5 linked regions of the Cricetulus griseus genome follow. The protein of the gene in region 1 purifies or fractionates together with the protein of each later gene. This does not show direct contact. Links are inferred from orthologs where the notes say so. Each region holds a gene or a part of one and is shown in the gene's direction. Other genes may lie near its edges. The genes, in order: Bcl11a, Chd4, Hdac2, Mta2 and Mta1.

The links.
Region 2: the proteins of Bcl11a (region 1) and Chd4 purify together in Homo sapiens (affinity purification with mass spectrometry; 5 studies listed by BioGRID, with this or other methods). This does not show direct contact. The link is inferred for Cricetulus griseus from reciprocal best matches to the Homo sapiens genes BCL11A and CHD4.
Region 3: the proteins of Bcl11a (region 1) and Hdac2 purify together in Homo sapiens (affinity purification with mass spectrometry; 4 studies listed by BioGRID and IntAct, with this or other methods). This does not show direct contact. The link is inferred for Cricetulus griseus from reciprocal best matches to the Homo sapiens genes BCL11A and HDAC2.
Region 4: the proteins of Bcl11a (region 1) and Mta2 purify together in Homo sapiens (affinity purification with mass spectrometry; 4 studies listed by BioGRID and IntAct, with this or other methods). This does not show direct contact. The link is inferred for Cricetulus griseus from reciprocal best matches to the Homo sapiens genes BCL11A and MTA2.
Region 5: the proteins of Bcl11a (region 1) and Mta1 purify together in Homo sapiens (affinity purification with mass spectrometry; 4 studies listed by BioGRID and IntAct, counting the BioPlex papers as one, with this or other methods). This does not show direct contact. The link is inferred for Cricetulus griseus from reciprocal best matches to the Homo sapiens genes BCL11A and MTA1.

What each region holds. Positions count from the first base shown.
Region 1 is NW_023276807.1:82,691,878-82,697,897, reverse strand, and holds the start of Bcl11a (B-cell lymphoma/leukemia 11A), read left to right. Parts: upstream 1-2,305; coding exon 2,306-2,360; intron 2,361-6,020. UniProt on the Homo sapiens protein: Transcription factor. Associated with the BAF SWI/SNF chromatin remodeling complex. Binds to the 5'-TGACCA-3' sequence motif in regulatory regions of target genes, including a distal promoter of the HBG1 hemoglobin subunit gamma-1 gene.
Region 2 is NC_048601.1:21,319,242-21,324,765, reverse strand, and holds part of Chd4 (chromodomain-helicase-DNA-binding protein 4), read left to right. Parts: intron 1-266; coding exon 267-470; intron 471-588; coding exon 589-794; intron 795-1,113; coding exon 1,114-1,245; intron 1,246-1,330; coding exon 1,331-1,427; intron 1,428-2,279; coding exon 2,280-2,471; intron 2,472-3,074; coding exon 3,075-3,275; intron 3,276-3,463; coding exon 3,464-3,601; intron 3,602-4,037; coding exon 4,038-4,159; intron 4,160-4,286; coding exon 4,287-4,460; intron 4,461-4,780; coding exon 4,781-4,922; intron 4,923-5,013; coding exon 5,014-5,145; intron 5,146-5,253; coding exon 5,254-5,371; intron 5,372-5,524. UniProt on the Homo sapiens protein: ATP-dependent chromatin-remodeling factor that binds and distorts nucleosomal DNA. Acts as a component of the histone deacetylase NuRD complex which participates in the remodeling of chromatin.
Region 3 is NC_048595.1:259,836,666-259,842,770, forward strand, and holds the start of Hdac2 (histone deacetylase 2), read left to right. Parts: upstream 1-2,248; 5' UTR 2,249-2,463; coding exon 2,464-2,515; intron 2,516-6,105. UniProt on the Homo sapiens protein: Histone deacetylase that catalyzes the deacetylation of lysine residues on the N-terminal part of the core histones (H2A, H2B, H3 and H4).
Region 4 is NC_048596.1:51,151,126-51,157,238, reverse strand, and holds the start of Mta2 (metastasis-associated protein MTA2), read left to right. Parts: upstream 1-2,391; 5' UTR 2,392-2,844; coding exon 2,845-2,872; intron 2,873-3,145; exon of another isoform or gene 3,146-3,198; intron 3,199-4,362; coding exon 4,363-4,430; intron 4,431-4,867; coding exon 4,868-4,961; intron 4,962-6,113. Other genes in the region: Eml3 (echinoderm microtubule-associated protein-like 3), read left to right, coding at 1,049-1,147, 1,394-1,524, 1,610-1,813. UniProt on the Homo sapiens protein: May function as a transcriptional coregulator. Acts as a component of the histone deacetylase NuRD complex which participates in the remodeling of chromatin.
Region 5 is NC_048598.1:180,920,195-180,925,718, reverse strand, and holds part of Mta1 (metastasis-associated protein MTA1), read left to right. Parts: intron 1-119; coding exon 120-219; intron 220-496; coding exon 497-685; intron 686-2,778; coding exon 2,779-2,853; intron 2,854-3,188; coding exon 3,189-3,247; intron 3,248-3,561; coding exon 3,562-3,677; intron 3,678-3,944; coding exon 3,945-4,096; intron 4,097-4,197; coding exon 4,198-4,387; intron 4,388-4,512; coding exon 4,513-4,602; intron 4,603-5,524. UniProt on the Homo sapiens protein: Transcriptional coregulator which can act as both a transcriptional corepressor and coactivator. Acts as a component of the histone deacetylase NuRD complex which participates in the remodeling of chromatin.

The sequences.
Region 1 (6,020 bases):
GCTGGGAGGTGGGCGAGCGCATGCAAGCCCAGGGCCCTGTCTTAAAACAATACAATCCCCCGCCGGGTGGGTGAATTTACGGAAACGACACCTCTCGGAGGAGGGGTGCAGGGACGATGGGTGCAGCCGCTGGAGGAGAGGGGAGGAAGGCTCCTGGCTCTGCAGACTCACAGATGTCCACCTGCAGCACGGGTCTCCACCCTGCGCCCTCCGCGCCTACCGGGGACTGTCCATCCCCCGCCCCCGCCCGGGCGCTGCTAGATTTGGACTCGGAGAGCGGTCTCCCTAGCTGCTGCTGCGGCGGCGGCGACTGCGGCGGCTGCAGGGTGGTGCAGGCAGGCTGGGAGGCTGGGAGGCGGGAGACGCCAAGGGACTTTGCAGCACGTTTCTGAATAAACTTTCCAATCGCAGGGGGTGCTGTTGCTGTACATTTTACGTAAAACTGAAAGTATCCCACGCCAGAGTGAAGCCCGCTTTTTGACAGCGGCAGCGCGCGCGCGTGTGTGCATTAAAGAGACAGGGGTTTATTTCCAACAGGTCTTTCCTAATTCCAGGGAAGGGCTGCAGAGGGGAACCGAGGGGGCTTTGGGCTCCCGTGTGCGCGCGGTGGCTGCTGGCGCCTGGGCAGCGCGGCCGTGACCCGAGGGCCTCACCACAGCAGCCTCCTGGCTGCTCCTGCTAGACAGTTTCATTCCTTTCCCTATTTTCTCTTTCCTCGTGTAACAGCTAAGGAACAATTGTGTTCTGTCCTCAAGAAACATTTTCCTTCCCTTTGCTCAGTGCTTTTGCATTTGCCCTGGAGTGGGAGGGGGTGTGTCCCTCCTTGGAAGCAGGCTCAAGGACCTCCCGCAGCGCCGGGAGCAGGTTCCCAGAGACTAGGAATCTGGGGGCTACCCGTGCTTTGTCCTCTGGCCGGGGACAGCTCCGAGGTGGACGCCTGGGTGCCTCGAGCCCCGGCCCCGGGTGCTCCCCTCTGGGGACTGGAACGCACCCGGAATCTGGCTTCTCGGGCTTTGTATCTCGGCCCCTCTTTCTGCGACCCTTGGTAGCTGGGGACTCACGGCTTTTGTAGGTGGCATTCAGACCCGATCGTTAGTTGGGTCGCTCAGATTCCGAGTCCCTGCCTTGGCCTTGGGGGCGCGCTCTCGGCCCTTGAGCCTAGGCCTGCGCCGTCGGCCTCGCCCCAACCCCCTCTCTCCAGGCGGCTTCTGCTCCCTCAGGCCCCGGAGCTGGCCTTCCGGACCCGCGACCCTCCAAACTTGGGCTGGATTTCGCTCTCCCGCGCGCTCCCTCCCGTCTCCCCTCGCCCGCTGCCGAGCTCTAACTTGGAGGCTCAGCTCTCAACTTCGGGTGATTTTTTCTTTCCTAGCTTTCCTTGGGCAAAGTTTCCAGAGCGCTGCCGCGGGCTCGGGGCTTGCACTCCAACCCTCGGCGTCCGCTGGCTGGGAGGGGAAGTGGGTGTGCGCATGGAGGAGGGTGTCCGGGACCCACTCTACCTGGCTTCCCTCCGCCCGCGCCTCCCTGGCTCTGGGCTGCAGCGTCCTGGAGCACTCTTGCTCCCTCCCCCACCCAAATAATTTTTCATTTTAGGGTCGGTGAGTGTGTGTGTGTGGAGGGGGAGTGGAGCAGGGCGCAAGTCTTGCTCCCCCTCACTCCTCCCTCCCACCCCGCCGTCCCTTTCTTCTCTCCCGGCCACGCCACCGCCGCGGCGCTCGCTGCGGCCACTGGTGAGCCAGCCGCCCCAGAGCCCCTCCCCTCCGCCCGCCCTCCCCCAGGGCCGCGTCTGGCGTCTGCGGAGCCCCCCGCCCCACACCTCCCCCGCCCCGCACTGGCCATTGGCTTGTCCTGGTCTCTTTTTCATGTCCAGCCCCTGATGTGTGTCCATTGGTGTGAGCTTCCCCTTCCCTCCTCCCCTTCTCTCCTGCTCGCCCTGCCCATGTTTTGTGTGTCTCTGTCCATCCAGACTCCTGACGTTCAAGTTCGCAGGGACGTCACGTCCGCACTTGAACTTGCAGCTCAGGGGGGCTTTTGCCATTTTTTTCATCTCTCTCTCTCTCTCCCTCTATCTCTCTTCTCTCTCTCTCTCTCTCTTTTTTTTTTTTGCTTAAAAAAAAGCCATGACGGCTCTCCCACAATTCATCTTCCCTGCGCCATCTTTGTATTATTTCTAATTTATTTTGGATGTCAAAAGGCACTGATGAAGATATTTTCTCTGGAGTCTCCTTCTTTCTAACCCGGCTCTCCCGATGTGAACCGAGCCGTCGTCCGCACGCCGCCGCCGCCGCCGCCCGCCCCGCAGCCCACCATGTCTCGCCGCAAGCAAGGCAAACCCCAGCACTTAAGCAAACGGGAATTCTCGCGTAAGTAACCCAATAATAGTAATAATAATTATTAATAATCACGAGGGCGCGCAGGACGCTAAGCAAGAGTGAGGTTGAGAGAGGGGTGTGTGCATGCATTAAAATTTTTTTCAGGTAAAAAAACCTTCGTTAGTTGGGGTAAAAAGATATTAAAGGGGAAAAAGCCCCATATCCCCTCTCGAACGAGAACCGTGTGTGCACTTTTGAGACGGCACGCACCTTTTAATTTTATAAAAAAATTGACTCCTCCTCTTTCCTCCTCTCCGCCGCTGTATTTCTTCTTTCAAAAAGGAATGCTATGATTTCTACCTCAGTTTTGCAAAAATAATGAACAATGCTAAGGATGCGAACAACTCACATGCAAACCTGGGGGTGGGAGCTGGAAGGAAAGGGGGGTTGTTTCTACTTCACTATAGGAAAATGGAGGGGGGAGGGAGGGCGTCAAGTCTAAAAACAATTCCTGGGGTGAGACTGGCCTTAGGACACTAATATGTGCACGGTCAAGTGTGCAGAGGGAGGAAAGTAGTCACCCCCACAATAGTACGAAAGTGGGACTGTAGAAGGGGCCCCCCGGCGCTTCCCAGGCAGCCGGTTCCGGAGAGAGGGGCTGCAGGGGCTGGGAGAGCCGGGTGACCGGGAAGGATCGGAGTCGCGCCCGGCGCTGCCGTCTTTTGTTCCGGCCGGAGGTGGGTGTTTGTCCCGCCGCCTTTTGTGCGGGCTCCTCGCGCTTGCCCTCCTGCGCCGCCACCGCCGCGGAAGGGCAGGAGCAAGGGCCGAGTGAGGAGGCGGCCCGGGGCACGCGGTAGAGGGAGGGAGGGCGCACGAGCCGCCGCCGGCGGGTTGCCGTTGCCCGCCCCTCCTGGCTGAGCCCAGGAGGAGACGAGGCGAAGACGCGTTAAAAAAAAAAAAAAAAGTAACGCAAAAGAATGTACAATTTCTTGCCCCCCAAAAGAAACCAAATGTTCCACCAGTCATATTTTTCACCGCTTTCCTGGGATTCGTCCACATCCCCCACCCCTGAAGAAATTCCACGATCTTTAATAGAGAAAAAAAAAGAAAAGAAAAAAATAGAAGAAAAAAAAATCCTTGACACCCCTTCCCCAAGCCCCCATCAAGTTGCAAACTTAGAGCGCCGGCGGCATGGAGAGGGAGTGAGGAACTCCCTCCTCTTACTATTTTTTGGAAGATTTTCAAAAAAAGTGGAAGTGGATTTTGATTGGGAAAAATCTCGTGTCTGAATGTTTACAAGCACCGCGTGTGCGGGAGCCTCCTGCCAACAAACAGACAGAGGACCGAGCGCGCCGCGGCAGCCCCGGAGCAGGCGGCCACAGCGGCCGGGCCTCGCCCGACCTCGCCGCACCCCAGTCTGGAGTCGGGATCGCCCACCAGGCGCTCGCCGCCCACCCGCCAGGCACCGCGGCAGGCCACGCCGCGACTCCGCCAGCCCGGCCTGCGCTCCGGTCCGCCCCTAACACAATGCCCAGCTTTCCCTTCGACCTCCCAGACAGCGAAAGCTGCAGGATGAAACTCGGTTTTGCAAAACATTTTTATTTTGCAAAGCAACTGTAAAGGCGAGTTCTAATAGTGCTCTCCATTACACCCGGGGTACTCTTAGATTCCTCTGGTTCTTAACTTTGGGCGGCCGGGAGGTTAGTTACCACGTGCTTTCCCTGCCCCCCTCCCAATCTGGCCAGTAGCCTCCTGGACCAAAGCAGTTGCCTGGCTAGGTTGAGGAGGGGGGCGGGGCAGGTAAGAAGTGTGCTGTGTATGCGTTTTGGGGGTGCAGGGTCCCTGGACTCAGCGAGACTCATCCTTGGGTTCTTGCCCTATACCCTGGGCCTGTCTTGGTCAGGGGTTCCTCCTGTGAGTTTATGTAAGTGTGCTAGTGGCGGTGGTGATTAACTCCACCTGAAGGTGTGCTTGGAGAGGCTGATGGTGGGTACTTAGGAAACTTTGAGTCCAGTAAGGAAAGGCATGCCCCCCTCCCTCTCCATCAAATCCTCTTATTCGTGACTCTTAATTTTTGACGAAAGCTTGAAGGGACCCCCTATGTTCTCTTCTGGATTTGTTGAGGGAGGGGTGCTCAATGGGAATTGATCCCCCCCCCAACTCTGGGCCGAGGAACTTGTCACACACTTCGGAAGCTCCCCCGCCCTGGCACGTTGCGGGGCCCTCCCTCTCCCCACCCCCGCGCATCTCTCCCTCGCCGCTCTCCCCCGCCCCCACTCCCACCGGCCGCGCCGGATACAGAGCAGACGCGGCGCGCGACGGTGTGAAGTTACAGCCCGGCCAGGTACCGGCGGGAAGGAAGGGCAGTGTTCGCAAGACTCGGGAAAGCCGGGACTTTGGGACAGTCGGAAGGATGCCATGGGGGCGCAAGGGACAGTCTGGGAGGCGCAGTCCGAGCTGCTCACTACTCTCCTCCCACTTGGGTCCCTTCTGGGACTCTCCAGTCTGGGAGGATTAGTCTCTGCTGTCCGGGGGAGGGACACTGGACTAGGAGGACAGTTGGAGGGGTATGTGCAGGGATCACTTATTTCATTTTCTGGGTGCTCAGAGGGCAGGAACCTCCGGGTCCTTAGGACAATCCCCCCCCACCTCCCACCCCCACCCCCGTCCTCAGCTACGTGGACTGAATGAGCCATTTGGTCGCTAGGAGGCAGAACAAGATCAAGAAAAGCTCAGCGAACTTGAACCTGTACCAGAGCCTCCCCCACTCGCTGCCCGGCGTTTCTCGGCGGGGGAGGGACGAGCGTTGGGAGAGTGGGGGTGGGGGGCAAGGAACGGTTAGGCAGAATTCCCTTTCTCCACCCCCCATTACCCCTTAGGTCTTTGTTCTTCATTTTGACTTAAAAAAATGCTTTTGGCTAGGGCCGTGTAGAAGCGCCGGGGCGCGCTGCCGACACCCCCACGTGCAAGGAGATCCCGCAGCTCCCTGCGCGGAGCCTGGTGCACTTTAGGGTCCTTTCAGGGAAGGCATTTTTGGTATCCAGGAAGGGGGAGTATGCTCTCGAGCTTGGAGCTGGCCGAAAGCAGGGGTATGGCAAGTTTGCCCTTGGCCCCTAGGATCACTTTTTTTCCACCCCCATCCCCGCGCACAGCGCACGTCTCCGCGGCCACCGCAGGCTTACCGGACGGCTTGGCAACCCGACGCTCCCCCTCCCCGCCTCCTGCAGCTCTCGCCTGGAAGCCCGAAATCACAACAATAGTAATAGTTATCATCATAATGATGCGGGCTAGCAGCGTCATTAATAATGAATAACCGCGGTCGCCGCCTGGCGCGCACACGGTGCCCGGAATTGCGGGTGAAACACATTTGCACAGATCTTCCAAAGTAAAAGTATTAGCTTGTGCACACAGAATGCATTTCAGGACCCGCGCTCTGGGTGTGCGGGATGAAGCCAAGACTTGATCAGGTTATCCAGCTCAGTTTTCCAAACCTTACTTCCCTTTTCACCAACTGGCTGCTTCAGGGAACCGGCACTCGGCGGTAGCCGGGCGGAATGGGCGTGGAGGCGGCAGCCGAGTCCTCGGGCCACCCGCCTCCTCCAAGCTGGGACTGCGGGTAGCTGCTGCACGTGTTCGCTGTGCACGGCCTGAGCCTGCAGCCAGGAAGGAGGCTGCTCGCTTTGTGCCGGGGAGCCCCGGTGCCCAACTTCA
Region 2 (5,524 bases), on another chromosome or scaffold:
ACTTTCTGTGTGGGTGCTGGCAATTTTGTTTTATGATGGGTGTTTTTGTTGACTGTATGTGTAGACACAGTGTGTATTCAGTGAGAGAAGGTTTCAGATCCCCTGGAACTGGAGTTACAAATTACTGTTAGCCACGATGGGAATGCTGGGAATCAAATGCTGTTCCTTTGGAAGACCAGCAAGTTTCATCTTGCCAAATGCTGGCCATTTGAACTCATGTTCTCATCCTTGTGCAGCTTTTTGAGATAAAGTGATCTCTTTTTCAGTGTCCAGCTCTTAAGGGCAAAGTGCAGAAGATCCTGATTTGGAAGTGGGGCCAGCCGCCGTCTCCCACACCAGTGCCTCGGCCTCCAGATGCTGATCCTAATACCCCTTCTCCCAAACCCCTGGAGGGGCGGCCAGAGAGACAGTTCTTTGTAAAATGGCAAGGCATGTCTTACTGGCACTGCTCCTGGGTATCAGAACTGCAGGTGAGCCTGGGACAGGCTGTGTATGTGGGGTGATACTGCAGAGGTGTTGAGAAAACAGCCTTGTGAGTAGGGGCTGGATGGAGTTTCAGGGTGGTTTACTTTCTCTTCCCCCTCCCAGTTGGAGCTGCACTGTCAGGTGATGTTCCGAAACTACCAGCGGAAGAATGATATGGATGAGCCACCTTCTGGGGACTTTGGTGGAGATGAAGAGAAGAGCCGAAAGCGAAAGAACAAGGACCCTAAGTTTGCAGAGATGGAAGAGCGCTTCTATCGCTATGGAATAAAGCCGGAGTGGATGATGATCCACCGAATCCTCAACCACAGGTACCAGCTTGGCTCCCTGGAGGTGGTGTACTTAGGGGCTCTTTCTAAAGGAGTTAGGAATTAGCAGATGGCCATCGCCAGTGACTTAGGCTCTGTAATTAGGTTCTGTAATTCAGTGACCGAGTCCTGGAATTTGGCCCATAGGGAGAGCATAAGTTAGAGATTAGTGGTCCAGAGACAGATATCATTGAGGCTTTGAATACATGTGGAGTCTGGCACATTTAGAATGGTTTTGTCAGTTTTTAAGAGCAAGACTGACTGGGGAGGTGAGGAAAGTTGCTTTCTGGCTCTGAGGAGTTGTTCTTTATTGACCTTGTAGTGTGGACAAGAAGGGCCATGTTCACTACTTAATCAAGTGGCGAGACTTACCCTATGATCAGGCATCTTGGGAGAGTGAGGATGTGGAGATCCAGGACTATGACCTGTTCAAGCAGGGCTACTGGAATCACAGGTAGGTGATCAAACGGACAGGGGAAAGAGTAGAGCTGCCCCCTTGAAGGGACCCCTAGGCAGCTGTGGTCCATTTCCATTCCTAGGGAGTTAATGAGGGGAGAGGAAGGACGGCCAGGCAAGAAGCTCAAGAAGGTGAAGCTTCGGAAACTGGAGAGGCCTCCGGAGACCCCAACTGTTGATGTGAGTTGGGTGGAAGAGGAAGGGCATCGTTTGTTGGGTGGGCAGTATGTCTTGCCTGCTGCATTCTCATGGTGAGTGAGGCTGTGAGTCACAGCCTACAGATGGCTCTGGCTAAGATGTTCTGGAGACATCACATCCTCCCTTTTAAGTAAAAAAACCTGGGGTTTCATTCATTCTTCATCAGGAAAAGCAAACCCACAGAAGGGATATTATATGTGATGACAGGTATTATCTAGGGAGTGGTCTTCTATATACAAGGGCTTATTTATTTATTTATTTGAGAAAGGCAGGGTCTCATAGCTGAGGCTGGCCTTGAACTGATCTTCCTGTCGCCACCTCCCACATGCTTTGATTGCAGGTGTGTACCACCATCACACCTAGCTTCCTGGCAGATCTAGTGGAATCAGTGTATTCATATTTTTTAAATTTCATTTAAAAATTTTTCATATTTTTTAAATAATCTATTATTTTAATAGCATCGCTGTTTTGCCTGCCTGTATGTCTGTGTCAGATCAGAGTTACAGACCATTGTTAGCTGCCATGTGGGTGCTGGGAATTGTATCCAAGTCCTCTGGAAGAACAGTGAGTGTTCTCACCACTGAGCTATTTTTCCAGTCCCTGGTTTTCATATGAACTCAATCCTTCTGTTTTAGCCTCCGAAGTACTAGGACTACAGGCAGGTGCTACTATGCCTGGCTTCCTTAAGGGTTTGTTTGCGTGGTTTTTGTTTTTATTTTAGCTCTTAGAGGAAAAAAAAAAGTCTAGTGAGGAAGTGTGAAGGAGGAAGTAGCTACTGTCTTATGGGAAAAAGGGAAATCTTTACCAGCTCTTACCTTCTTTCTCATCCTTCAGCCGACAGTGAAGTATGAGCGACAACCTGAGTACCTGGATGCCACAGGTGGAACCTTGCACCCCTACCAAATGGAAGGCTTAAACTGGCTGCGCTTCTCCTGGGCTCAGGGTACTGACACCATCTTGGCTGATGAAATGGGCCTTGGGAAGACTGTGCAGACAGCAGTCTTTCTCTATTCCCTCTACAAGGAGGTAAGGATGGCAGATGTTAGTTTTTGATGTGGGTATTTATTTCGTGATTGTTTTCTTTTCTTGCACTTTGAGGAGAGGGAGGAAGGGAAGAAGAAAGCCTGACTTTGAACACTGCTGAGGGCTAGGAAGACATAGGTCGGCTGTGGAAATTTTTAAAATATTTTGTTTGTGAAGGTGTTTTACCTGTAAGTATGTCTGTCCACCACTTGTGGAGGCCAGAGGCCAGTTTCAGGTGTGAAACTGGAGTTACTGATGGAGCCATCATGTGGGTCCTGGGATCTGAACTAGATCCTTTGCAAGGGCAGCCAGGGCTCTTAACCAGTGAGCCATCTCTCTAGACCCTACCGTGGAAGTGCTAGGGTAAACCGAATTGTGATTGGATTAGTGGTAGGGAAAGTCTTGGTGGAGCTTGGCTTCAGGGTGGGTGTTGTGTTTTGGAAAAGAGAGGGTCAGACAGTTGTGAAATGGGGACAGTGAGTGGGGCAGTGGTGAAGGTGTCAGGCCCCAACTTCGCTGAGGGTTGGGGGGTGGTTGGGGGTAGGTGGAGTCTGGGCTTTAAGATGATGCAGCTTTTAGTCCTGATTCTGCCTGCTTTCTCCCTAGGGTCATTCCAAAGGCCCCTTCTTAGTGAGTGCTCCTCTTTCTACTATCATCAACTGGGAGCGAGAGTTTGAGATGTGGGCTCCTGATATGTACGTGGTAACCTATGTGGGTGACAAGGACAGCCGTGCTATCATCAGGGAGAATGAGTTCTCCTTTGAGGACAATGCCATTCGTGGTGGCAAGAAGGCTTCCCGAATGAAGGTATCTCAGTGCCGGGAGGAGGAGGTCACTGTTTGAAAGGGATTCACTGCTTTGGGCTTAGTTTGCTGCCTCACCTGGTCTCTAAGGCAAAAGGATAACTCTGGGAGTGGGGAAAGCCCACCTGTCTCTGGCTATGTTGATATTGGAGGAGTGGACCAGTAATGAATAACCAACTCATCTTTATGCAGAAAGAAGCATCTGTGAAATTTCATGTTCTGCTGACATCCTATGAATTGATCACCATTGATATGGCCATCTTAGGTTCTATTGATTGGGCCTGCCTCATTGTGGATGAAGCCCATCGTCTAAAGAACAATCAATCTAAGGTGAGTAGGATGGGAGGTAATAGTCTCTAGTTTTAGTCTCTTGGGAGCATCCTTTCTTTGAAATAAACCTAAATAGAGAAGAAAGGAAAAATGGTCTTTTTCATTCCATACCTGTGGTAGCACTTCTGTGGCCTGGCCTTTAAGAATGAAAGGGGGAGGCGGGAGTGGCTGGACAGATGGCTCAGTGGTTCTTCCATAGGACCTGGGTTCAATTCCTAGCACCCACATGGCAGCTTTCAACGGCCTATACCTCTACCTCCAGGGGATCCAACACTCTCACACAGACATGCAGGCAAAACAACAATGCACATAAAAATAAATAAATCATTAATTCAAAAAAAAAAGAATGATGCCAGCCATGGGATGAGAGAATTAATTTCACTGTATTCTGTAGAGATATATCAGTGTTCTGATTTCTTGAATTTCGTCTCTTCAGTTTTTCCGAGTTTTGAACGGTTACTCACTACAGCATAAGCTGTTGCTAACTGGGACTCCATTACAAAACAATCTGGAGGAATTGTTTCATCTGCTCAACTTTCTCACCCCTGAGAGATTCCAGTAAGTGTGTTTATTATGGTCAGTCCATGGTTATCCTTTTAGTTCTTCTGATGCCCATTTCCTATATTACTTTCCTTCCTTTGTTTCTCCCTCTCCAAAGACTATCTTTTTTTTCTTTTTCCTGAAGCAATTTGGAAGGCTTCTTGGAGGAATTTGCTGACATTGCTAAAGAGGACCAGATAAAAAAACTACATGATATGCTGGGGCCTCACATGTTGCGGCGGCTCAAAGCTGATGTATTCAAGAATATGCCATCCAAGACAGAACTGATTGTGCGCGTGGAGCTGAGCCCCATGCAGAAGTGAGTGTGAAGCCTAGAAGCACAACTCATTCTGTAGTACAGTTAGACACCCGCCATTTGGCCAAGGGTTTGTCCCACATAGCTTCTCGGCATCTGGTGACAGAAGCAGGTAGGGCCTGAAGAAACCTGATAGCTGGGAGCTGGAGTTTGTAGTTCTTAGTTATACCTTCCTGTGTCTAACATGACGGCGGTGTGGCTAGTGCTTGTTAGCTTAGCCCCACAGTGAGGAATGTTGGAAAGATGATCTCAGGCTGTTGGGGTTGCTTCATTAGTCATTTAAAGACTCGAATCCAGCCTGTCCTTGCATCTTGCTCACGTAGGAAATACTACAAGTATATTCTCACTCGGAATTTTGAAGCACTTAATGCTCGAGGTGGTGGCAACCAGGTTTCCCTGCTGAATGTGGTGATGGATCTTAAGAAGTGCTGCAACCACCCCTACCTCTTCCCAGTAGCAGCAATGGTAAGTTGTGCCACCTCTGTCTTCCCTGGTTGGTTGCTCACTCCTCCTTGTGGACTTTCTTTCAATATGTTTTCCTTTGCTCTGTCACCAGGAAGCTCCTAAGATGCCTAATGGCATGTATGATGGCAGTGCCCTAATCAGAGCATCTGGGAAATTGTTGCTGCTACAGAAGATGCTTAAGAACCTTAAGGAAGGAGGGCATCGTGTACTCATCTTTTCCCAGGTATGTGGGCCCAACTAGAACTTCGGAGACAGTAGGGGGACAGCCCTAGTGATTGAGAAGAGGGACTATCACCTGGCAGCTCTATAATTAAGCTGTTCCTTTTTATAGATGACCAAGATGTTGGACTTGCTAGAAGACTTTTTAGAACACGAAGGTTATAAATATGAACGTATTGATGGTGGGATCACTGGGAATATGCGTCAGGAGGCTATTGATCGCTTCAATGGTGAGAGGAATGGTTTATTTCGAGGCAATCATTTTCTGTCCTTTTTTGTAATAAAAAATAAATATTGGCTGGGTGCTGGTGCATGCCTTTAATCCCAGCACTTGGGTGGCAGGGCAGGTGGATCTCTGTGCATTCGAGACTAGTCTACAAGAG
Region 3 (6,105 bases), on another chromosome or scaffold:
ATTACAACTCCTAATAGCTTCTATTCGTGTGCTTCAAAAACAATTCCATGTGGATTTTCTTAAGAGGCTTCCTCATAGTCATATAAGCAAGTCTCTCATTTTACGGGTAAAACCATTTATACAGAAATTTCAGGTGACTTGCTGGAAGTCACAGGCACTAGAGAAATAATTATGTACAAGACAAGCTTGGCTTGTCCGCTTGTGAAACTGTATCCTACTGAGACAAGTAGACAAGTTATGGGCAACTGTAATACGTTAAGTGTAGAACTTAAAAGGCACATGGTATTCCAGCTATCAGACCAGGGAGCAAGAGTTCCCGGATGTTCAGGTCAGCTGTTTCTGTGGGTTTCACCAGCCTGGTCTGAACCTCTGTGCTCTTCACTGGTCCTTCTCTGCATCTGGGTCCCAGTTCAGTTCAGTGATTAGTTATTGGTGTCTGCTTCTACTTCCACCAGCTGTTGGATGAAGGCTACAGGATGGCATATAAGTCAGTCATCAATCACATAATCAGGGGAGGGCATTTAAGGTAGCCTCTCCTTCGTTGCTGAGATAGGTAGCTGGTGTCATCTAGATCTCCAGAAATTTCCCTAGTGCCTGATTTCTCTGTAAACCAAAAATGTCTCCCTCAATTATGATATCTCCATTCTTGTTATCATGTATTCTTCCCCTGACTCATACTTTCTGCTCCCTCATGTCCTCGGCATCCCTCTTCTTCTCCCCTTCTCATTCTCCTAGCTCCCTCCCCCTTCTTCCTGTGCTCCCAATTTGCTCAGCAGATCTTGAACCTCTCCCCTTCTCCAGGGGACCATGTATGTCTCTCTTAGGGACCTCCTTGTTTATTAGCTTCTTTGGCAGTGTGGATTGTAGGCTGGTAATCCTTACTCTTAAATCTAAAATCCCATATGAGCGAGTACATACCATGTTTGTCTTTTTGCGATTGGGTTACCTGGCTCAGAATGGTTTCTTCTAGATCCATCCATTTTCCTGCAAATTTCAAGATTCCATTGTTTTTTTTTTTTTTTTTTTTTTCCGCTGAGTAGTACTCCATTGTGTAAATGTACCACATTTTCTCTATCCATTCTTCGGTTGAGGGGCATCTAGGCTGCTTCCAGTTTCTGGCTATTACAAATAGTGCTGCTATGAACATGGTTGAACATATGTCCCTGCTGTATGAATGTACTTCTTTTGGGTATATGCCTAAGAGTGGAATTGCTGGATCTTACTTTAATATCACCTCTTTAGGGAGGAGGCAGTGTGCTTGTGTGCATGTAGAAGGAATTATAAATGGTAATAGTTAGGAGATGCGAGTGTTGCATTAGACTGTCAGCTCCCATCCTTTCCCTGGGCCTTGCAGGATGGCTTACACAGGTGCTCAATAAATGTCACTCTATTAAACACAGGGACTCAATTTTTCAAATCCTTTCTTTGGATTTCTGCTCTTCTCCCAGTGCCCAGCCAATACCACATCCAGTCTGATGCAGTAGGCAAAGCATGTGGAGTCTGATAAAGTTCGACACCCCTCCGGTCCTCAGACCATTCCTTAGCCGTTGACAGCATCACACTCCCCCCATCTACTGGAGCCTATAAAGAAATGGACATGCACGTGAATGCCAGCACTTTTGACAGCTTTATAAACACATATCGGTGCTCAGAACCGTGCTTATACTCAAGTCCCACGAATACTTATTCAATCCAGGAGGTACAACCTGCCATTAAAGTCTCTAAGTCAGTAACGAAGAGTTATCAGGGGCTGAGGAGGGGAGGAGAACACGCGAATCTCGGAAGGCGTGAGAATCTCCGACCACCACACAGCGGGAGAGCACCACCTTCTGAAGCCCTGGGGAGTGCTCAAGCGGGTTCCTCTCGGGGTCCCCGCGGCACGTGGCGGGCTGGGGCCGGAGCGTCGCGGTGGTGGGGGAGGGGAGCGGCGTGGGCCCCGCGGAGGGGTCCAGACAGCCCGGGATACGTTTGAGCAGGCGCCGAGTGCGCAGGCTCAGTCCGGGCGCAACCAGTACCTGCAGATCGGAGGGGGAACCCGACGGCTGCGGGGGTCCGGGCTGCGAGCGCGGAGCCGAGATCCGCTCCCTCGCACCTCGGGACTGCGTACGACCTAACTGTCACTACACCCCTCCCGCCCCATCCGGCGGCGTCCACGCCTAACCGACCCCTGCGTCCGTCTGCAGACGCGGTTTCCCCTGTCACTCCATAGTGGTCGCGCCCGCCTCCCAGCCCCGCCACCCTGGGCCTCCCCCGCCGAGTGTCGCGCGTCGGCGCCGCTGCCACCCCCGCTCGGTGATCACTGCCTTCCCGGCTCCGGCTCCCATCTCGCTCCGGGCCGTCCTTGTTCCGCGGGCCGCCGCGCCCGCTGTCCCCTCAGTCCCCCTTGTCTGGCCGCCGGGCCGCGGCGGGCGGGAGCAGCCGGAGGAGGAGCCGCAGCCGGGAGGGAGGCGGCGTCCCGAGCCCATGGCGTACAGTCAAGGAGGCGGCAAGAAGAAAGTGTGCTACTACTATGACGGTGGGTGGCCGTGGAGCCAACGGCGGGGCTGCGGGGAGGGCGCGGCGGAGCGGACGCGCCGCTCGGGGTGTTAAGGGTGGCTGTCTGCGGGGACAGGGACACGGCCTACCCGGCTTCGCGGTCGTGGCCCGGAGACGGCCGCCCTGGCTCCTCTCGGGTCCTCCGCACGGGCACGCGCAGGTTTGGGGTGTACTGCCTCGAACCGGTCCCCGAGGAACCCCACTCGGCACCCCGGGCCTGACTACACAAAGCCGGCGGCCTGGAGCTCCGCCCCACGTCCCCGTCCCCTCCCCCGCTCGCCGGGTCCCCCTTCTTGCTGGCGATCTGTCTGTGCTGCGCTTCCAAGCCTCACCGGGACCCCGCCGCTCGGGTGGGGCTGCGGAGGAGTTACTCCTGGCGGGAGGCCAAGTTCGCAGAGCGGCGCTGTCTCGCTCGTGTTTTGCGTGGACTCCATCCCTCGCCTTTGTTCGCCGGGTTCTTTGAGCGCCTCTTTCTCAGGGTTCGGACTGAAGGGCTGCATGCACTTCCTCGGTGACAATTAGGGGTTTGGAGTTGGAGCTAGGCAGGCCTGTGGGGAAGTAGTAAGAGGAGGGAGGTAAGCTTGGAGTTGTTCCTACTAGATGGGTCCTAGCATGCCTCTGTGGGAGGTTGTTACCACCCACGTCTTTGTTGCTCTTTGTTCGATATGCAGTTATACCCTGCTCTGGGGGGGTTAGGAGAAAACATGGGCACCTTGCTTAGGAAGGGTGGTGGGGACCCTGCTGCAGGAAACTTTTGAGAAGTGAACTAAATATTCCAAACAGGTAGGGTGGAGCTCACAATGTAGTTAGTGAATGGTACAAGGTGGTGGTAAGGGGTGATTTGGAGTATGGGCAATAATTGTCTGAGTTCTATAGGCTGAGCAGGTCTCGGGTCTCAGTTACACTAAGTAATGCCCTGTCTTTCGGATTTCACCAAGACATTAGTAGATGACTGTTGAGAGAAGGAATAATTTGACAGAACTAGCCTCATTGCCCTGAAAGACCTGACTGATAATCTACAAAGCAATGCAAAGTTGGGAGCTGTTTTCTATATTTTTTGTGTTGAAGTCACAGTATCTTGGAGAGGTAGATAAGAGCCTAGAGATCCTAGGCTGAATGAAACTGACTTTAACTTGAAAATAGTCCTACCTATTCTTGGTTTGGTGGAAATTTTTAATGCTTGGATTTTTTTTGGGGGGGTGGTAGGGGGCGGTTAGAGACAGGGTTTCTCTAGGTGTATCCCTGGCTGTCATGGAACTCGATCTGTAGACCAGGCTGGACTTGAACTCCCAGAAATCCTCCTGTTTCTGCCTCCCAAGTGTTTGGGTTAAAGGTGTGTGCCACCCCTGTTGAGCATTAATACCTGTTTTAATAATAATGATAATAATAATAATAATGAAAGACACCCATGTCTTTGGCTGGAAAATCAAAAACCTTGCAGAAAGCTAGGAGAAAATAGAGAAGACTATCTAAATGACATTTTGTTTTGTTTGGGGGCTTTTTTTTTTTTTTTTTTTTTTTTGAGACAGCCTCTCTGTATGTGGTCCTGACTGCCCTAGAATTCACTATGTAGGCTGATGTCTCACTTACAGAGATCCATCCACATGCCTCTGTCTCCACGTGCTGGGATTAAAGGTGAGTCCTTAAAGGTGAGTCCTTAAAGGCGTGCCCAGCTTAAATTTCAGAGGACTATGTATGTGTTGAATAAATTTATGTGAAGTTACACCATCATGGAGGGAAGAGATGGGAGAACCTGTCAGTTTAAACTTGAATTACATTGTGAAGTTGGATTCATGGCAAACACTTGTCCTGCATTCTCTGATCCACTGGAAAAGATGTAACCCTGTAAATGAATTTGAAAAATTATAATTATAGCTTTTCTAAAGTAAAGGCTCGATTTTTGTTAGAAAGGTTTAACAGTCGGAACGGGTGCTTAGGACCTTCAGCTGTCAGCTGCTGTTGTCAAACAGGACTGTAGCTGTTTCCTGAGCAGCTATTGGTTCCTGAGTTCATGTTTGGAGGTGAGCCATTGTTGAGGGGCAGGATAGGCACTGGTCACAGAGATGGGAGGAATGGAGGAGGTTTTCAGTCATTTGATTTTTTACATATGCCTAGTTGTAAGCAACCAACTGTATAACTGATGGTGGAAGTCTGCTGGGTTATCTGTCTCTTGTCTGTTCTTACTTGGTGTGTATTTAGAATACACTTACTTAACTTCTGAATATTTGCATTTGGGGGAGCTAACAAAACCACAGAGATTCTTAAATTGATGTCATGGTTATGCTGATTAACATGGGATGACATGCTAGACTACACAAATTATTCTCTACACTTCTGTCTTCAATGCCAAACCCTATTCTTGTTTTCAAAAAAAAAGCAGTGACTTAATTGTCTTTTAAATTGTGGACAGAGGGTGCCAAGTAAAGTAATTTTGTATAAGAAAAGCATATGACTTTTAGATGCACAAAGGGTTGGGTTGGCAAAGGGCAATACCAGTAGTAATGGGACTTGAATAATATACTAGTTTAAGCTAGCTGGGGTTTTTTGTTCTGTTTTTCGAGGCAGGGTTTCTCAGTGTAGCACTGACTGTCCTGGAACTCACTCTGTAGACCAGGCTGGCCTCAAAGTCACAGATCCGCCTGCCTCTGCCTCCTGAGTACTGGGATTAAAGGCTCATGCCAGCACCATCCCACTCTAAGCTAGCTGGTTTTAACTTGGTTGGTAGAGGAAGTAGAGGGAAGGAAAAGAAAAGCAGTGAAGAAGCAAATCCTGTAACCATGGCTGTCCTCTTCTTTGTAGGTTTAATGGGGCCAATAGGCACACACTGAGCCTCTAGGCAACTTAGAGTGTTTTCTCTGTGTGCTTAATGAAGAATACTCTGAAGATAAATGTGGTTTTCTCTGTGTTCTGTAGTCTTTGGAATTGTACCCTTTAAATCACAAATCCGCTGATCTTCTGTGAACCTTGGGATATGGGTATATGAGCTATCTATCCCTATACCTCAGAAGAGAAATTAGAGTTGTTCTTAATTGGTGGACTGTGGCTATTGACATCTCTGTAGTTTCCAGAAACACTTTTGAATGTTGGTCATTCTTTATATACTAAAAGACAGTGCTTTGTAAAATGATAGATAGCAAATTATAGCTAATTAGGTAGACACTAAGATCCTTTCTGACCTTAAACTGATGTTATTTTTCTCTACTTAAGTGTAATTTAGCAGATTGAGGTACATTTGATTCTAATTGCAATGCTCACATTTTTAATTGATCTGGAAACATAAACTATGCCTTGTTTTGAATGAAGCTTGGGATCAATCCTATAGTGCCTTCTAATGAATACAGTATAATAGAATTGAATGTATGCATAATTTATATAATTAAGCATCAATTGCTTTACACTTCGCTTATTTTTCTCTGATGGAGATAATCATAATCAAAATGTTTAGAGACATGGTCCAGAGAAAGTCAACACAAATAAGGGCTATCACAATTATCAAAACCATGCCTCCCAATGTACTCCTCACTTAACAGATACAAGACTTCTACAGAGCAGCCACCTGTTGTCAGATTT
Region 4 (6,113 bases), on another chromosome or scaffold:
ATGGAGGTGGAAAGGAGCTGGAATTGTGCACAGGAGGGATCCTGTGACTAGGTAAAATACAGTTCACACCATGTCTTCTTTCCACAACAATTCCAGGAAGTTGAAAAATGTTCCAGGTATGGTAGTGTACGCCTTTAATCCCTGAATTTGGGAGGCAGAGACAGGCAGATGGATCTCTATGAGTTCAAGGCCAGCCTGTCTACGTAGTGAGTTCCAGGCAAGTCAAGGCGACTTAGCAAGACCCTGTCTCAAAAAAACAAAACAAAAAACCCAGCAATGGGGGCACATACCTTTAATCCCAACACTTAGCAGGCAGATATCTGAGCTTAAGGCCAGCCTGGTCAACACTGTAAATTACAGGACAGCCAGGGCTACAAAGAGAAACCCTGACTTGAAAAACCAAAAAACAACCCCCTCAAAAAAAAAAAAAAAAAAAAAAAAAAGCCATGCAGTAAGAAAAGGTTGTCTTAGTATAATTTCTCAGGGCAAGTGTGGAGGGGCTAACTTATTTAGGAAGGAAAAACTGATTGGAAACTGTTAGAACTTTATCCAGAGGTTGAGGCAGGAGGGTGGGGAGTTCCAGGCATGACTAGGCTAGGCTCTTTCTCTTCAAGAAAGGGTTTCCTCAATTTTGCCCTGGCTTTCCTAGAACTTGCTTTGTAGACCAGGGGGGACCCAAACTCAGAAATCTGTCTGCCTCTGGCCTTTAATTCCAGTGCTGGGATTAAAGGCATACACCATCATGCTGGGTGTGCTTAGACTATCTTTCTTTCTTTCTTTTTTTTTTTTTTTTGAGACTGGGTTTCTTTGTCTTGGCCCTTGGCTATCCTAGAACTAGGTTTGTAGACCAGGCTGGCCTTGAACTCACAGAGCCTCTATCTCCAGAGTGCTGGGACTAAAGGTGTGTAACAACCATCCTGGCTGGACTTAGATTGTCTTAAAGTCAAACGAAATCAAACTACAGTGAGAACTCAGAAATCACATAGTGAGGTTCATAATGGATCAGGTCACCTTCCCAGCTGAGCTGGTTGGGGCAATTTCTACCTAGGGGACGTGGCTGGAGGCTGCAAGCTTCTAAGGAATCGCTATGAGAGCAGAGACCGGGAGTGGGCTACCTACACCTGTGTGCTAGGCTTCCACGTGTATGGTAAGTAGTGAAGCCAGCATGCAGCCGAGCCCTTTAGCAGGGCTGGGAAAAGAAGGTGGAACCCATTCTTGGATCAGAATGTTGGGTGTGTGTCATGTGTCATGGCGGGGGGGGGGGGAGAGGCAAATCCAGGCCAACAGGTCCCTTTGGGAATGGAGAGGATTGTCTGGAGGTAGCCTGGAAATCCTAAGCACTGCAGCTCTAGGTTGTGGAAAGTGCCCTGGCTGAGGCTACCTGTTGTGTTAGGTGTGTGGCCTGATGGCTCTGATGGGACAGACATCAACTCCCTTTGCCGCTCCCACAATGAACGTGTGGTGGCTGTAGCAGACGACTTCTGCAAAGTACACCTTTTCCAGTATCCGTGCGCTCGAGCCAAGGTGAGTCTTTAGAGGACCGTTGGGCCCCAGTGGGTAGTCTTGGGACCCTATCACTGCTGTGACTGTACATTTTTTTCTGGTGCAGGCGCCAAGCCGTATGTACTCAGGCCACGGCAGTCACGTGACTAGCGTCCGGTTCACGCATGACGACTCATACCTCGTCTCCCTAGGTGGCAAGGACGCCAGTATCTTTCAGTGGCGAGTGTTGGGCGCTGGGGGCTCTGGGCCCTCTCCTGTCACGCCTTCTAGAACTCCCTCTCTGTCCCCTGCCTCCTCCCTGGACGTGTGATGAATGCTGGATGGTTTTGTCCCTCTGGTACTGTGGCCTTGCCCCGCCCTGGCCAAAACCCCTAGGACCAAGTGCAGCCCTTTTCCTGGGCTGGCTTTTTCTTTGATTTCAGTACATTCCCAGTTGCGCATTTTCCTGGAGGGGCGAACCGCCCCATTGCACACACGATAACGACTCGCTGGCTGAACCAGGCAACCCCAGCTCTGACTCCCTTTGCCTGGTGAGGGGCAATAAAAAGAAAGAAAGTCACCGCTTGGTGCTTTTGTGGAGTGCGGCGGTTGCCTCAGGGGCCCGGTAGGGTTGGGATGAAAGAAAAAAGTGCAGGGCGGGAAGGGAAAAAAGGAGCTCGGACCAAATATGCAAATAACAGGCAAAGCGGCTTGCAAATAACCTCAAGAAGCGCGAGGGTGCGCGCGCGCCTTGCGAGGCCACTGTCGGAGCTGCAGGGACACATAGAGTAAAGAGTTAAATGCGGCTCCCTGCCGCCCTCGGGGGCGGGGTCGAGCTGCAACGGAAATAACCGAGCGCGGGGCCGCGGCTGAGCGAAAAGAGCCGAGTTCCTTCCGGAAGTGGCCGATCTGCGGGGTCTTGCTCTCCGACCTGAGCCGAGCGCTGGGCCTTGTTCTCCGGATCGGCCGAAGGTGTTCCGGAAGGAGGCGAACCCGGACGCGGGCAGGGCAAACCTTCTCAGGGGCTGGCACCATACGGCGTCTGCTGGGACTCGGTGAAGACGCTAGGAGCCGGAATCTGTCTCCGGTCAGGCAGGAACCGAGCTCGTTCCGGAAGAAGCCGAGCAGACCGGCGCCGGCCTGGGTATCCCGGGCGTGAGGCTATAGCAGTGTCGTCGTGGTCTTCGTGCGAGCAGTGATGAACCGCGACGGCTGAGCGAGCAGAGGTGCCGGCTGCGCGGGCCCCATCGACACTTCCGCGAAGCGTCAGCCCCACGCTGGGGGCATCGTCTGGAGCTAAGCTTTACCCCCGCGAGCCTCCGGGTCCTCTTTGTGCGGCCGGAGGCCGCGGCGGGAACGGCCATGGCGGCTAACATGTACCGTGTGGGAGGTGAGTACACCGGGCGGAAGAGGTTGGGGACGGGACCAGGGAGACTCGGTGTCCGCAGGCGCGGGGAGCAACATCTGGGGTCGTAGGGGCCACAGCGCCGACCGGAACCGGAACCGAGACCTATGGTTCCGCGGCGGCGACGCTACTGGGAGCCGAGTCTCCCGCAGAGGCTTACCTACAACGATCGGTGCTCTTGAGTCTGCGACTGGATCCCGGGGTGGGAAGTAGGCTTGGTTTGGAAGGGGACTGAGTGACTGCGGGGCCAGCTGCGGGGAGCCAGTCGCTCAGGGGTTTTCTTTTCTTTGGCGGCTTGTTCGTTCACGAAGGTGAGGCCTGAGGTGGGGGGAACAATTTACTCAATTCTCCCACGCAGGGGTGCAACTCCAATGCAGAGTTGTGTGGACTACAGGGAAATCCTTGTTATCTTTTTCCCCCTCCTCTCTCACTTCTTGGTTTTTCGACTCTGTCTGTCTGTCTCTTTGGTTTTTCGAGACAGGGATTCTCTGTAGCTCTGGCAGTCCTGGAACGCACTCTGTAGACCAGGCTGGCTTCGAACTCAGAGATCCTCTTGAGTGCTAGGATCTGACTTTTGAGTGAGAATCTGATTTTAGCGCTAAGTGTTGCAAGGGTGGGAGTAAAAACTTTTCTCCCTCCCCCCCCGCCCCCCCCCCCCGGCTGTCTTAGAACTCAGGAAATAGACCAGGTTGGCATCGGACTCAGATCCACCTGCCTCTGCCTCCCTCTGCTGGGATTAAAGGTGTGAGCAATCACTGTCTGGATAATTCTTTTATTTCTTTTCTCGTTCTTTTTTTTTTTTTTTTCCTCGAGACGGTTGATACTTATTTTCTTTTGTTTTCTCGAGACAGGCTTTCTCTGTCTATCCTTGGCTGTCCTGGAAATTGCTCTATAGACCAGGCTGTCCTCGAACTGGAAGAGATCTGCTTACCTCGGCTTCCTGAGTGCTGTTGGCCACCACTGCCCAACTAATACTTTTCTTTTGCGGGGGTGGGGGGATGGGGGGTGGGGTTCGAGACAGAGTTTCTCTGCGGCTTTGGAGGCTGTCCTGGAACTAACTCTGTAGACCAGGCTGGTCTCAAACTCAACAGGGAACCACCTGCCTCTGCCTCCTGAGTGCTGGGGTTAAATGCATGCGCCACCACCTTCTCTAATACCTATTTTCTTTTCTTTTTTTTTTTTTTTTTTTTGGTTTTTCGAGACAGGTTTTTCTCTGTGTAGCTTTGGAGCCTATCCTGGAACTCGCTTTTGTAGACCAGGCTGGTCTCGAACTCACAGAGATCCACCTGCTTCTGCTGGGATTAAAGGCGTGCATCACCAACACCCAGCTATACTTCTTTTCTTAAGTCTTTCCTCTTGCACATCTCCACATCTCTACCTAGCATTTTGTCTTTTTTTGGTCCACCCAAATCCACTTTCTCTTCTGGGTGCTCTGGTTTTCTTCTGATCTTGTTTCTCCCCACCCCCTTCTACAGATTACGTCTATTTTGAGAACTCCTCTAGCAATCCTTACCTGGTTAGACGGATTGAGGAGCTAAACAAGGTGAGTGGAGCAGAAATGGAGCAGTTTCTTTCTTCTGGAGTCTAACTCCAAGTGGAAGGGAGAGCCAGCCTTACCTAGGCTTAGAGCCTATACAGGTGAGCGAGCGTTCATTCCATGTATAGAGCTGCTGAGAGCTTAGCTGAAGCTTTATCATTCTCACATCTGGGGATAAAAGAATCCTGTCTCTGTTGTTTTTTTTTTGTTTTTTTAAATATACAGTGTCTATTTTGCAGCCTTGGTTGCCTGGAACTTTCTGTGTGATCAGGTTAGCAAACTTATGGAGACCCATCTCATTGGTCCTGTAATTATCTTTGAATATTAAGTCTTCATTGCTGAGTTTTTGGCCTCTTCTACTTAAGTCCTTAGAGAGTGCCTGTTAGTGTACCTCCACTTTCAAATGGCTAATTTTCATTGCCCTGTTTTTCTTCCTTCTTTAGACTGCCAATGGCAATGTGGAAGCAAAGGTTGTCTGTCTCTTCAGGAGAAGGGATATTTCTAGTAGCCTCAACAGCCTGGCTGACAGTAATGCTAGTGAGTGTCTTCATTCCTTCCCCTTTCCCCCCTCCCCAGGATCTGAGGACTAGACTTGTTCCTGCAGGTGTTTCCCCTGGTAACACGCCCAAGGCAGGGTATGAGTTTGGAGGTGGGAAGTGCCTGGTCTGCAGAGCAAGGCCTGTTGTTACATGTTGGGGCTGGGGCTGGAAGCCGGGTGGGGAGACCATGATCAGAAAAGCCAGAATGTGGTGTGTGTGTGTGTGTGTGTGTGTGTGTGTGTGTGTGTGTGTGTGTGTGTGTGTGTGTGTGTGTAAGGAGAGATACTTAGATAGGGAATGAAAAGAGCTTTAGAGAAGGCACGTGGGGACATTTTGGGTACTTTGGGACAGTGGTTAGTGAGCGATGGTCAAGGTGGAGAGGAAGATACTGTTTTGAGAATCCTGCATAGTAATGGGGGAGGCTTATCCTGTCGTCTGGAGGTGAAGCCAAAACATTGACGAAGCTGACGGAAGCTAGAGGGCAGGAAAGCGCTTGAGCTTTCCTGTTTCCCTCTCTATTCCAGTTATCATCTGCCTTACTTCATCTTCTCATTTTTCCCATTTAACTACTTTGCCTCTTTTTTTCCCTAAAGTTTTCTTTTTTCAGGCCACAGCCATGAAAGAGTTAATGAGCTGGGCCTACCAAGTTTCCTGGCCCTTTGGGGTTTCTAGCCCCATCTGGCAGGGGCTGACCTTGGCTTTGTCCAATCAGAATGGGTAGGGGGTGTGGTCCTCCTTGCCCTCCCCTGGGTTTTCTAGAGCACACCAGGGAGAGGTGGAGCCTACTACACAGACACAGGACCTCCCCCACCTCCCCACTTGCTGTGGTACACCCAGTTCTTCAGGGGAACAATGCACCAATGAACAAGTGCTTAAGTTTCTATCCCGCCCACTTTGTTTGGCACTTAGCCAGGTTAACTGTTTCCACCAAGATTTCAGTGCAAGCTGCTGCCTCTTGAGGAAGGTGTTGGCTCTGGTTTGAGAGGTGCTTTTCTTGAAAGCCCCACAGACTATTATTAACCAAGTAGAAAGAGAAGGAGAAGTCAGTTGCATGTGATATTCAGGTACAGCAAAGAGTCCTGAAGCATGAAGAGGAGCTGATAAATAAATCCTGTGTGCTGTTCTTACATCTTAGCTGGATTCTAGGACG
Region 5 (5,524 bases), on another chromosome or scaffold:
GAGGCCCAGAGGCCCTTTGGTGGCAGTGTGCCACCTGGGTCCTGGCTCTCACTGGCTTGCCTGGCGGAGGGCATCCCTGCAGCTCAGCTCTGGTGCTCAGTGAGTCTCCCTCTCCCCAGCTCCGTGGGCACCTTTGCACGGGCCCTGGATTGCAGCAGCTCCGTGCGGCAGCCTAGCCTGCACATGAGTGCCGCGGCAGCCTCCCGAGACATCACCCTGGTGAGTGGGCCACTGCCACCTCCCTGCTCTCTTCTGGGGTCCTAGCAAGGTAACTGAGGACTTCAGCGACTTCTGCTACACCTTAGATTTGTCTAACACACGCCAAGGGAGTTAGGGAGGGATTCCTACCAATTCCCACCCAGGGGCCTTGGCAGCCACTAGATTGTCACCTTGAGACCTGAAGGAGTGGGGGCAGGGGGTCACATCGCAGGTTCAGGAAGATGCTCCTTAGGGTCTGGGGACAGCCTGGACCCAGGGGAGCTCTGCTGTCTTCCAGTTCCATGCCATGGACACGCTGCACAAGAACATCTATGACATCTCCAAGGCCATTTCAGCCCTCGTGCCGCAGGGTGGGCCGGTGCTCTGCAGGGATGAAATGGAAGAGTGGTCTGCATCGGAAGCCAACCTTTTTGAGGAAGCTCTGGAAAAATATGGGAAGGATTTCACAGACATTCAGCAAGATTTTGTAAGTGCTTAAGTGAGGCTGGGGTAGTGGCTAGCCAGGCCCCACCTCTCACCCAGGAAGATGCCTGTGCCTATGGCTAGGCCTCAGCCCTTTGAGTCCAGTGAGCGCTGAGCAGGCCTAGGCTCTCACTGTGGAGCTAGGAGAACAACCGTGGAGGTTTCCCTGAGGCACCCTCAAGACTTCCCGGCTGCTTGGACTCGTTTCTGTTTTGTTCTTAACTAAGCTGACCCTCCCTCCTGTGTGCAGTGCCAGCCAAGTCTTTACTATGATAGAGCCTAAGCCCTCAGAGCCCCCCAGCTCCCCAAAGGACTGAAGAGTGGGATCATGTCTGTATGAGCTGAGGCAGCTGGGCCACCTTCCCCACAGCCTTGAGGAGATAGGGTTACTAGCATCCAGGATGTAGTGAGTGGAATATGTTACCCACTGGAGTACCGTCAAACAATGCCGATAACCCCAGCATTCAGGAGACTCAGGCAGGATTATGAGTTTGAGACCAGCCTGGGAAATAGTGAGAACCTGCTACAAACCCACAAACAAACCCAGTAGCAAGCCTAGGCCAGGGTGGGAGAGCCAGGAGCGTGCAGGGTGCTTACTCAGGCATAGGCAGAAGGGCTGAGGGAGTGTCTGTCTCTGGGAGGCCCAGGTGCTGGTCACTCCCATGGCCCACAGAACCCACAGTCTCTGCTGGACAGCCTGGCATGTAACTGGATTTGAAAAAAAAGTACAAGCTTTTTAGACAAAAAGTAGAATGAGAAGAACGGGACAGAAAGAAAACAACAGTGGAACAGAGCTGGCAATGTTTGAGGGGGGCTGGGCGTGGCTGCTACAGTGGGGGACAGCCCTGCAGAATCTGCACGTTCCTAGATGCAGTTCAGCAGGTAAACTGAGTCTGTCAGAGACCCAGAAGAAAGGGCTGCAGAGCCACCTGCTAGAGGGCAAGGCCTGCTGGCTAGAGGGCCAAGTGAACCAAGTACAGAAACAGGATTCTGCACAGAACAGACAAGCCCACCTTCTGTGTCACCCGGTGCTGTCGTGGGTCTGCTCTCAGGAAATGGTTCGTGTAGATCAAGCTGATAGATATTAAAGAAACAAAGTTTTCAGGTGACATTTCTAACCATCATGCCAGCCTTAAAGACTGAAGCCCTAGCCTTGAGGCATAGCTCAGTGGTAGGTAGGATGCTGGCCTTGTATAGGCAAGGCCCAGGGTTTGATCCCTAACACTGCCAGAAAAACAACCTGTTGAGCCCTTTTTAATTAAAAGTGCCATTTTAGCCTGGCATTGGTGGCGCATGCCTTTAATCCCAGCACTTGGGAGGTAGAGGCAGGCGGATCTCTGTGAGTTCGAGGCCAGCCTGGTCTCCAGAGCGAGTGCCAGGACAGGCTTCAAAGCTACACAGAGAAACCCTGTCTCAAAAAAAAAAAAAAAAAAAAAAAAAAAAAAAAAAAAGTGCCATTTTAAACAGCAGCTTGAGGTGTGAAGACTAAACTTCAGTCATTTGGCCTGAGGCTTAGGCAGCACTGGAGGGAGGGCAAGGTGAAGGGGCTCTATACACTGCTATGTGCTGAAAGATAAAAGCCACTCCAGCCCCTCAACACTGAGCTAAATACGAAGGTGGAGGACAACTAACCCAGAGAAGCAGCAAATATGTCTTTCCAGCTAAGGTGAAGGGCAGCCCGACTGCTGCAAGGGGTCTCTCCTCCTGGGTGGGCCCCCTTGTGCACCTGAGAATGGGTAGCTCGTGACACCCATCAGTCCATGGTCCAGTCTGCCTTTGGCAAGAGACCTTGTGCTACGTTGTCTCCTGGCGGGAGGCAGAAGGGCAGGCAACGGGGTCTGCCCATCTTGTCCTCTTCGTCTCTGGTCCTTGGTAAGGACAGAACCAAGTTCTTGTCGTCTTGCTCAGGTCCCAGACTCAGACATAATGGAAATGACTCTAGCGTGGGTGTTGAGGGGAAGGTCAGCCACACACTCCTGTGGTTAGCACTGAAGGAGGGGGACCAGAATTGACCTCCCAGCACTGCCCTTGCCACCCTGCTCCCTATCTGGGCAGTAGTCCAGTTCCTACCACCCATGATGCCTTGTCTCACCCCAGCTCCCCTGGAAATCGCTCACCAGCATCATTGAATATTACTACATGTGGAAGACGACCGACAGATACGTCCAGCAGGTGGGCCCTCCCCACAACCTACCTCGTCCCTCCCCACAGTCTCTGTGTAGTCACATTAATTTGTTCCCAAAGACCTCCCCCTAACCCTGGAGCAAAGAGGAAGAAGCCATGGTCTCTAGAGGATGCACAGACAGGAGGAAGGGACATTCCTGAACCCTAGCCACCTGAAGCCTCCACTTCCTGGCCCTAGGATGGCCAGAGAGAGCCATGCAAAATTTTCTCGAGTCTTTCCCAGGGGAGCCAGTGATGGAGAAACAATGATGTTCCCCTCCCTGTGGTCTTCTAGCTGCCCTGGCCAGCCTGGTGACCTTCATAACCCTCTGTTTTGTTTTAAGAAACGTTTGAAAGCAGCTGAAGCGGAGAGCAAGTTAAAGCAGGTTTATATTCCCAACTAGTAAGTCCATTCCTATGTTCCTGGGGGCCATTGGTGGATGGGCAGTGACTGTGGGGCTCTTAGGATCCACTGGGGTCAGGCGGCCTCCTGAGCTAAGTCAAAGAACCTCCATCACCCTTTTCATGAGCTTGCTTAGCTTGGGAGGAGGGGTCAGGACTCGAGTTCCTTTGGCCTAGGAGTCAAGCTGGGTTTAGTGCTCAGCATATTGGGGCATGGGGTGTGGCAGCGAAGACACAGTGAACCAAGGGGACAGGGATGTCTGCTGGGATACAGACACTGCAGGGCACCTGTGACTGATCCTTCTCCTCCATCAGTAACAAGCCAAATCCAAACCAGATCAGCGCCAACAGTGTCAAGGCCAGTGTAGTGAATGGCACAGGGACACCAGGCCAGAGCCCCGGGGCTGGCCGGGCCTGCGAGAGCTGTTACAGTAAGTGCTGTGCCTGGCACCCACCCTGGGCAGCAGGGGCCACGGGAATGCTACTTCGTGGCTGTGGTGCTCATGGGACCTCTGAAGGCCCCTGTGCCCAGACCTGGAATGACTCGCTGCAGTGGTGCTGCCGGGGGTGGGGGTGGGGCTAAGGGGGTGGCGGGGGTGGGTGGGATGAGTGTGGTGGCGGTGGGGACACTGTGGGATGCTCTCTGCACCGTTGGTTCTGCTTAAGAATCCGTCTATCTCCAACTTTGTTGTCCGTAGCCACACAGTCTTACCAGTGGTATTCTTGGGGTCCCCCTAACATGCAGTGTCGCCTCTGCGCTTCTTGCTGGACATATTGGAAGAAATACGGTGGCTTGAAAATGCCAACCCGGCTAGATGGAGAGAGGCCGGGACCAAATCGCAATAACATGGTAAGTGCGGCATGCCATGCTTGTCGCCTGCCGCAGGTAGGCCTCAGGCCCTTGGCCTCTAGTCACGGTGCTGTGTTGGGGTGGTGTGCTCCGCTCCACAGAGTCCCCACGGCATCCCAGCCCGGAGCAGTGGGAGCCCCAAGTTTGCCATGAAGACAAGGCAGGCCTTCTACCTGCACACTACCAAGCTGACACGCATTGCCCGGCGCTTGTGCCGTGAGATCCTACGCCCATGGCATGCCGCGCGACACCCCTACATGCCCATCAACAGTGCAGCAATCAAGGCTGAGTGTGAGTCAGTCCCTTTCTTGGATCCGGTAGGAGCCACACCCATGCAGTGTGTTCAGGCCGGGGTCAAGGTGGTGGCCCCAACTCTGGGGGATCACAGCCCTTCACCCTACCTCGTCCTCCTTTAGGCACTGCACGGCTGCCGGAAGCGTCCCAGAGCCCACTGGTGCTGAAGCAGGTAGTGCGGAAGCCCCTGGAGGCTGTACTCCGGTATCTTGGTAAGCTGGGGGTGGGGTGGGGCGTAACTTTAACTCAAATCCTAACAACCTGTCGGGAAACCTTGCGCGGTCACCAGCACTCCGCTTCTGGCCTGGGTTGCACTGTGCTGGGCTCAGGATACCCACAGAGGGCAGTTCTGCCTCCTGTCCCATCCTTGGTCCCAAGTCCCAGGCCCTCTGTCCCTCACACCCCTGGCATACCCAGTAGCCCTGTGTCCTGTTGGAGACAGGGTTTCTGCCATGTAGCCCTGGCTCTCCTGGCACTCACTCTGTAGACCAGGCTGGCCTCAAACTCACAGAGATCCTCCTGCTTCTGTTTCTCAAGTGCCGGGATTAAAGGCGTGCGCCACCACACCTGACTTATGACTAAGGTTTAGGCCAGGTGTAACCCAACCTACAGCAAGTCAACAAAGGCAGGGTGGACACCATTGCAGACCTTTGTGAGCCCTTGGTGGCCAAGGTGCTCACTTGGCTGGCAGCCTTGCAGGGATCGTTCCTTGCTTGTGTGGGTCTGGGCACTGCTGAGGTTCTTAGGCAGTGCCACTGGCCATTTAGAAATGGCACATTCTGAGGTGGAGCCAGACACTTGGGGTCATTTGTTTGCGGTGTTTAAGTGGACTTGAGTCCGTCCTCCAGCATGGAGGTTGCAGTCCTTCTAGAAAGGACATTCCAGAACCATGAGCTAAGTGTGTTCATTGCAGACACAAGTGTCTTTGGCTTTGATCCCTATCCGGGGTCCTGGGCCCCAGGGTCAGCTATGTCCTTGTTCCCTAGGAGGATGTGGTCAGTGCCAGGCCCCGCCTTCTGTGGGGTGGGTCCTCGCTCAGCCAGCCAGGCAGTTCAGTGTCTGGCCAGTAGCCAGTCTTCTGCCATCAGACCTGGTGGCCTGGATGTAGAGGCTGCCTGATGGGACTGCTATGTT